2 linked regions of the Arabidopsis thaliana genome follow. The protein of the gene in region 1 interacts with the protein of each later gene in a biochemical or structural test. Each region holds a gene or a part of one and is shown on either strand. Other genes may lie near its edges.

Region 1 (3,900 bases):
CAGCTGAAACAAGAGTCTCTCCATGGCTGTCATTGATCAATGTTGAACCTTTGAACAATGTTTTGGAGTCTTGAACTGCAACAAAACAATCTAATCGACGAATATGCAGCAAAAACATATAGAAGAAGACAGAAAGAATCATTCTCTGACCAGTACTAGCTTTTTTTTACTCATCTGATATCTCCATTATTTCTGCTTAAGAACTCAACTCAAAACGTGTCTAACGAAAAAAGAAAAAGTTTGCCTCAACGTCAACGAAAGACCCACCTGAAAAGTAAATATGTGGAACGCAGCTAATCATGTGTTTTAAGATGTTTCCAAGAAAAAGCAGAACAAGTCTCACTTGAGCATCTGAACCAAAAGCCATGAAAGTAGTAGATACTATTTACACTCTCTTAGCCACTGTATGTAGATACACATGTGACCAATTCACGCACTTTGTGTCAACTTTTTCCGCGATGGATCTCTAAATAGTTCAAAAAGATCCAACATTTTTTGAATAATACGTACTTTTAGAGTATTTTTTGACAATGAGAGAGACATAGGGGTACCTAAACGTGAATTACTGGAAAAAGGGGACAATGATGTTGAAGAAGTCAATCTTTTGTCCTTATTGGTGCTTTCGAAGAAGTGGAGATTGACCCTGCAAACATTGTTAACCAACTTTTTTCCGAAATTATTGTGAGATTCGAGGAGTTTTGACAAATGTAGGACTTTTGTCGTTCAAAAGAAATGTTTTCATCTAAAACGCGTAAACCTGTAAAAGGCAGCTTCAGCTCTGATTAAACAAAGAGACTTGCAACAATGTCACTATGAGACATTACTGTTTAAAAATAGATTCAGAAACACTAATCAGTTTTCACACTAAAACAACTTTGTCTTCTGCCTTGTTTGTTTATTCCTCTGGATGTTTCATAGATATACCTTTAACAGGGTATAGCAGTTTCAAGTTCATAGATGAAACCCTTTCGCTCACAAATATTGTTTTAAAGCCTTCTTTATGAGAGTTGGATTGGTTCACCACATAGATTCTCTAACTCCTCTTCCAGGAGTTTATGCAACTTTGCTTCAGTTCGCCGATATATCCACGCATTAGCATCACGGTCCCAGTCAAATCTAGAAGGGCCACTGCACCGAGACAAAAGGAAGAATGAAGATTACATTAATGTGAATCTAAGATGTGGAAGCACAAAGTCAAGAGCAACAACACTATACAGTCATAAACAGTTTCATTTCTCCAAATATCATGAGTACAAAAATCAGAAGAGAGAGCAGAACATGATAATCCAGATGCGAAATTCAATCTAGGCGCCTAAAGTTAGCAACTTTCAAAAGGCAAGAAAGAATCTTTACCTCACAGGTGAAGACATCCAGATTTGTCGATTTGGAGTTTGCTTATTCAGTACATAAGTGCCTAAAGATCCAAGCTTAAGGGTAAGAACTTCATTCTGTTGGAAACAGCCAAAAGGACTGACTATAATAAGTACACATAGATTTCCAGAAATATGAACAAGATCTTAAATTGCTTAAAAGAGTTTAATCCTTACCCCATAATCTATGTCGAAACCATCAATCTGAACATTATCACCATAATCCTGAACATGAATCATGCAAGTAGAACATAGTGTAAGCTATTGCAATCTCAAGTAAAACGAAGAACCCTAGAGAGAAAAAGGTTCCAGCTTCAAATACCTCAATTTTCTCAAGAAGGTGATTAATTGTGAAGTTGGCTAATTTGTGAAACTCTTCCTCCTGCAAAACCGAACTGTTTTTTTCTTCCACTTTGTTCATATTCTCATGAAATTAACGATTCAGATACAATAAAGGAGATCAAAATGGAGAATATTAAAGTACCTGTAATCGACAGAAGCAGGACCTTGAGAAGAGAAGCTTCTGGTAGTCAAAGAATCATGGCGGATTCGAGATCCTATTCTCCAGAAGGAATCCAACGGTTCTATGGAATCTTGAATCAGATTGCTTGAAACTCTTACGCCATTGCTACGGAGAAGAGTTGGAGACAGCTTGAGAAACCTCGGCAATTTCCGTAGAAGAAACCTTGAAGCTGTAGCCATGGCGGTTCTGTCACAAGAAACATTCGACGCCTCTCTTCTTCTTATTCCTTCGTTGTCCAATTTAGGCCCACAATAAGGCCCAAATTTAGATTTACCCGGTTCACGTATTTCCCATGTTCCGGTTTACTGAAACCGGTATGGTTCTCAAGAGATTTGTCATTTGTGTGCGAAGAAGAGTTTTCTTCTCCTCTCATAAGAAAAAACCAGAATTTTGAAGAAGGAGAAAGAAAAAAATCTGGGTTTTTGGGAGCTGATTAGGTTTTGTTCCTTCAATCTCTGGGAATTTTCGCTATGCACTCAGGTGAAATTCGTTTTTTCCTCTATTTCAATCTCTGTCTTCCTGCGAGTTTACGTGAGAGAATAGTTTTTAATGATCCCGAGTTCGTCGAATTACAATGCAACTCCCAGTTTTTGTAGTTTTAATTAGCGAAATTCATCAATGGCATTGGAAATTTTAAGCCTTTTTTGGTTTGTTTTATGGTACTACTAATTATTCAAGCTAAGGAATTCCAAAGTTTTCGTTCGTTTTGATTGGGTTTAGAAGTATTTGGCTGATGAGAGAAAGAGCCATAATTCTGAAATTAAACCCTTTTATGTGAAGCTTGTGTAGATGTTTTACCTGAATTTCGGAATTACTAGCAACATTTCTAAATACACAAAGCATGATTGTAAAATGAAATTGATTTTGGTCAGGGCTTTGCATCTCTTGGTTATTGAATGGTGTCCGTGTTTCACTATTATCTTCTTATGTTTTTGATTTTTATGTGCTATTTTCGATAGATTCAGGCGAAGCGACCGCTGATGGCGATAAAGCTTCTACAGAAAACAGCAAAAAACGGAAGCTTAAGACTCCTATGCAAGTTATGGCGCTTGAGAATTTCTACAATGGTAAATTATGGCTTTGTTGTTTGCATATGTTCCTTTATACCAAGTTGTATATGCTTTACAGGTGTGATTTGGTTTTTCTACAGAGCATAAGTATCCGACTGAAGAAATGAAGGGCAAGTTAGCAGAGGAAGTTGGATTAACTGAGAAGCAAGTTTCAGGTTGGTTCTGCCATAGAAGGTTAAAAGACAAACGTCATGTAAAAGAAGATGGGAATGCCATTGGGAGCCAAGATCGGTCAAGCGTTGTTCTTCAGGATCGTGGAAGTGGGCTTCGACAGGATTCATGTGGTAGTACAAAGCAAACGGATTATTGGAACCCCAAGCCTAGGGAAGTTGAAAGTCAAAGGCTTTATATGGGAAATGCTGATGGTGAAGATAGTACATCTTCTGATCGTAGCTCATCATTACGTAAGAATCTTGTCTCTAGCAAAGATGGAATTCGCGATGTGGAAAGTTCTAGATATGTTGCACATAAAGACGTTATTCAGCATCCTCAGTTCATGAGAAGCTATGGGTATAATAAGCCTTCGGGATACTTGAAAGTGAAGGGAGAGAGTGAGAATTTTGCTATCACTGCCGTAAAGAGACAATTAGGAAGACAATACCAAGAGGATGGTCCACCTCTGGGGGTTGAATTTGATCCTCTTCCTCCCGGTGCATTTGAGCCTCAGACTAATCCTATAGTTCACGGTGAGTCATGATAAAATGTTTCAACTTTACCTTTAATTTTCTGGTTTATGATGTTATGAGTATTGAGTAAGTGGCTCAGAGAAGCTAAAACCATCTTCTTCGTGTGTCAGATTGTGAATGCCTTTACCCATGTCCAGTCGGATTTGATTGCTTTTTCTATCAACTGTTTTGTCAGAGCCAATATATGTTGGGAATCAGAGACGGCCTCACCTTCCACATTTACTTGGAACGAGGAAGAGCTTTAATCCTGG
Region 2 (4,411 bases), on another chromosome or scaffold:
TTGGATCCGATTAGACCTTGCCGATCCAAACGGGAAACCCGGTACATTCTCCCAATCTCAATCCTCTGCATCGTTGCACTAACCGGAGCTTTGGTTTGGCTATTCATCAAAACCAAACCGTTATTCAAGAGAAAACCGAAACGGACCAACAAAATAACCATCTTCCAGCGGGTCGGGTTCACGGAGGAAGACATATACCCGCAATTAACAGAAGATAACATAATTGGGTCGGGCGGGTCGGGTTTGGTTTATAGAGTGAAACTCAAATCAGGTCAAACGCTTGCGGTGAAGAAACTCTGGGGAGAAACGGGTCAAAAAACGGAATCTGAATCTGTTTTTCGATCCGAAGTAGAGACGTTGGGTCGGGTCAGACATGGAAACATCGTGAAACTTCTTATGTGCTGCAACGGCGAGGAGTTTCGGTTCTTAGTGTACGAGTTCATGGAAAACGGCAGCTTAGGTGACGTTTTGCATTCGGAGAAAGAACATCGTGCCGTTTCTCCACTTGATTGGACGACACGATTTTCGATCGCGGTTGGTGCTGCTCAAGGACTTTCTTATCTACATCATGACTCTGTTCCGCCTATTGTTCACCGTGACGTCAAAAGCAATAATATATTGTTGGACCATGAGATGAAGCCACGTGTCGCCGATTTCGGTTTAGCTAAACCGTTGAAGAGAGAAGACAATGATGGTGTCTCCGATGTTTCAATGTCTTGTGTTGCTGGATCCTACGGCTACATTGCTCCGGGTTCGAATTCTTAGCTCTACAATATCAAATCGTTAAAACCCTATACGCAAGCGTTTTAGTAACATTACTGTTCTTCTGTGGATGCAGAATATGGTTATACGTCAAAAGTGAATGAGAAGAGCGATGTCTATAGCTTCGGGGTGGTTTTACTCGAACTGATTACGGGAAAAAGACCGAACGATTCGTCTTTTGGGGAGAATAAGGACATTGTTAAGTTTGCAATGGAAGCAGCTTTGTGTTACCCTTCTCCATCAGCAGAAGACGGAGCCATGAATCAAGATTCACTTGGAAACTATCGAGATCTTAGCAAGCTTGTTGATCCAAAGATGAAACTTTCGACGAGAGAGTATGAAGAGATAGAGAAAGTTCTTGACGTTGCATTGCTCTGTACGTCGTCTTTTCCTATCAACAGGCCGACCATGAGGAAAGTAGTAGAGTTGCTTAAAGAGAAGAAATCACTAGAGTGATATTAATCCTAGGCTTTTAATTATTAGGCTTCTATAATGTACAAAATCCGACTAGGATTGTTACTCATTATTATAGCCATAGGTTGGACTTTGCTTTAAAGTTTGGGTTTTTAGAAATTAAACTACTTAAAGTTTGAACCAAAAAAAAACAAAGGAAAACTACCTGAAAACTTTTGTTTTCTTGCTTCACAAGACTCTACAGACTTCAAATTTCATATATAAAAGGATAATTCAAATGGTTCCGGATGAAAATTTCCTTTTGTTGATGTTTTCAGTATAGTTATAGTCTCTTACTTAGTAAGTTAGGTTTATGGTTTTTATTTAATTATCAAATTCGTCACAACTTTGCTTTCTTAGATCCAAAAATTCGTCTAGCTATAGTTCAAATTGGTTAAAGCTGCTGATTCTCAGAGTTTTTTTCTAAATTCCTATGTCAGGATTAGGAAATAGCTTCAAGTAGTAGTTTTTGTTCGTCTGGCATGTAATTTCTGATTGAATTGTTATTTGTTGGTATGTTGTAGATCAAAGCGGATAAGGTGTATTCGATATGTAGACGAACTTTCACGGTTTTTAATTGGCGATATGGAGACTCTATTTTCACCTTTTTAGTGGACCAGGTTAGACAAATATACAAGAGCCTCTTAAAGAAAAAAATAAAAATAGTATTGGGCAACTTATAGGCCCATTATGTATATTAACAGGCCAGTTTCTCATAGGCTTTTGATACTTTCATGGACTCGAAAATTTAGGGTTTCAGAGACGACCACGTTACCACCGTCATGAAACCGCCAGTGACCGTAACATATTCACCTCTCGCATCTTCTTCTTCTTCACGGAGAAGCAATCGAAGAGAATCAATCAACTAGACAAAAATCGGAAGAAGAAACACAAACCGAGGTTTTAGAAACATGGCGTCTAAGGTAATCTCTGCCACAATCCGCAGAACCCTAACCAAACCACACGGCACTTTTTCCCGGTGTCGCTACTTATCAACCGCCGCTGCTGCGACGGAGGTGAATTACGAGGATGAATCGATTATGATGAAAGGAGTTCGAATTTCAGGTAGACCTCTTTACTTAGATATGCAAGCGACGACTCCGATTGATCCTAGAGTATTCGATGCGATGAATGCTTCACAGATCCATGAGTATGGGAATCCTCACTCGCGAACGCATCTCTACGGCTGGGAAGCTGAGAACGCCGTCGAGAACGCACGAAACCAGGTCGCGAAACTGATCGAAGCTTCACCGAAGGAGATCGTATTCGTGTCCGGTGCAACGGAGGCGAACAATATGGCGGTGAAAGGAGTGATGCACTTTTACAAGGACACGAAGAAACATGTGATAACTACACAGACTGAGCATAAGTGTGTGCTTGATTCGTGTAGGCATTTGCAGCAAGAAGGATTTGAGGTAACTTATTTACCTGTGAAAACTGATGGATTGGTTGATTTAGAGATGTTGAGAGAAGCTATTAGGCCAGACACAGGGCTAGTTTCTATTATGGCTGTGAACAATGAGATTGGTGTGGTTCAACCTATGGAGGAGATTGGTATGATTTGCAAAGAGCATAATGTTCCGTTTCATACTGATGCTGCTCAAGCTATTGGGAAGATACCTGTTGATGTTAAGAAGTGGAATGTTGCTTTGATGTCTATGAGTGCTCACAAGATCTATGGACCGAAAGGTGTTGGTGCTTTGTATGTGAGGAGGAGGCCGAGAATCAGGCTTGAGCCGTTGATGAATGGTGGAGGTCAGGAGAGGGGATTGCGTAGTGGTACGGGGGCTACGCAGCAGATTGTTGGGTTCGGGGCTGCTTGTGAGTTGGCTATGAAGGAGATGGAGTATGATGAGAAGTGGATTAAGGGGTTACAGGAGAGGTTGCTGAATGGGGTTAGAGAGAAGCTTGATGGTGTTGTGGTGAATGGTTCAATGGATAGTCGATATGTAGGGAATTTGAATTTGTCGTTTGCTTATGTTGAAGGAGAGAGTTTGTTGATGGGATTGAAGGAAGTTGCAGTGTCTAGTGGAAGTGCTTGTACTAGTGCGAGTTTGGAGCCTTCTTATGTGTTGAGAGCTTTGGGTGTGGATGAAGACATGGCTCACACTTCGATTAGGTTTGGGATTGGTAGGTTTACCACGAAGGAAGAGATTGATAAAGCGGTCGAGCTTACGGTTAAACAAGTTGAGAAGTTGAGGGAAATGAGCCCGCTTTATGAAATGGTTAAAGAAGGTATCGATATCAAGAACATTCAATGGTCTCAACACTGATTCAACAGTTCCACTCAAACTGTGCGGGACAAGAGGGAATCTCCAGTCTGTGGTCAGCCGGGGTATATGAGAGCCATACTGAGATGTGAGTATGAACGATGATATGATCCTGTGTTCTTACTATGTTCTGTTGGTAAGTTATCTATCTATATTGCTTTCTAGAGAGAATTGCATGTGAGAGTTTCTTGTGTGGTTTTGTAATAAAACAGAAACAAAGGTTCATTTCTGGTTAGATTGTGATATCCTTTGAAATTGAATGATTAATTTTTAGGTGTTGTGAGCTTAGCTTTTTTAGCTACGGTAATGGTGAAGTTTGTTTTGTTTTTCTTCTTATTTATGAAAATAAAATACAATTTTATGTGAATATTTTTTTTATTCCTCTTTTCTCACTCTCTAAAAATGTCGGCGAGTCTCACTAAGATGTTGAAGTAACAAAACATGAAATGAGAAATGAAATTAATGTTCTTACCTTCATGTTAAGTTGAAGTAGATCATAATTATCCCATGTGATTTGGTACCAAAGTTTTTTTTTTCAGATCTACGTACACTCGAGTCGACCTTTGCTATGAACTCAAATATGATCCAATAAAATTTTATATTCTTCTGTGTTTTTTTTTTTTGTATTCAAATTTGGATAGAAACAAGTATTTAGTAGGTCGTAGGTGCCATAGGTGGCCCTTGGGAAACATCCAATGGATACAAACCTCATATTATAAATTCTCTATGCCAAAATAATTAGGACCATAGGTTATGTTATGTACCTCAACCATCCTTTGATTGAGACATTAAATTCCTTCACGTTTGTAAACCACACTTTCGTATACATTTTCTTCCCTAACACTTCTTGGCACTGTTTCTTTTATTAATTTGATTTTTGAAACATATGTCAAAAGAAAAGAAAAGAATCGAAACATTTAATTAAT

What was found.
Region 2: the proteins of FH (region 1) and NFS1 form a complex in vitro, tested with the Arabidopsis thaliana proteins (one study listed by BioGRID).

What each region holds. Positions count from the first base shown.
Region 1 is NC_003075.7:1,422,687-1,426,586, forward strand, and holds FH (frataxin-like protein), read right to left. Parts: upstream 2,087-3,900; 5' UTR 2,073-2,086; coding exon 1,855-2,072; intron 1,766-1,854; coding exon 1,693-1,765; intron 1,596-1,692; coding exon 1,548-1,595; intron 1,449-1,547; coding exon 1,354-1,448; intron 1,129-1,353; coding exon 999-1,128; 3' UTR 552-998; downstream 1-551. Other genes in the region: AT4G03230 (G-type lectin S-receptor-like Serine/Threonine-kinase), read right to left, coding at 1-142; AT4G03250 (Homeodomain-like superfamily protein), read left to right, coding at 2,364-2,373, 2,853-2,960, 3,044-3,649, 3,825-3,900. UniProt on the Arabidopsis thaliana protein: Promotes the biosynthesis of heme as well as the assembly and repair of iron-sulfur clusters by delivering Fe(2+) to proteins involved in these pathways.
Region 2 is NC_003076.8:26,294,223-26,298,633, forward strand, and holds NFS1 (nitrogen fixation S (NIFS)-like 1), read left to right. Parts: upstream 1-1,802; 5' UTR 1,803-1,835; intron 1,836-1,855; exon of another isoform or gene 1,856-1,967; 5' UTR 1,968-2,126; coding exon 2,127-3,488; 3' UTR 3,489-3,850; downstream 3,851-4,411. Other genes in the region: HSL2 (HAESA-like 2), read left to right, coding at 1-751, 839-1,218. UniProt on the Arabidopsis thaliana protein: Catalyzes the removal of elemental sulfur from cysteine to produce alanine. Supplies the inorganic sulfur for iron-sulfur (Fe-S) clusters.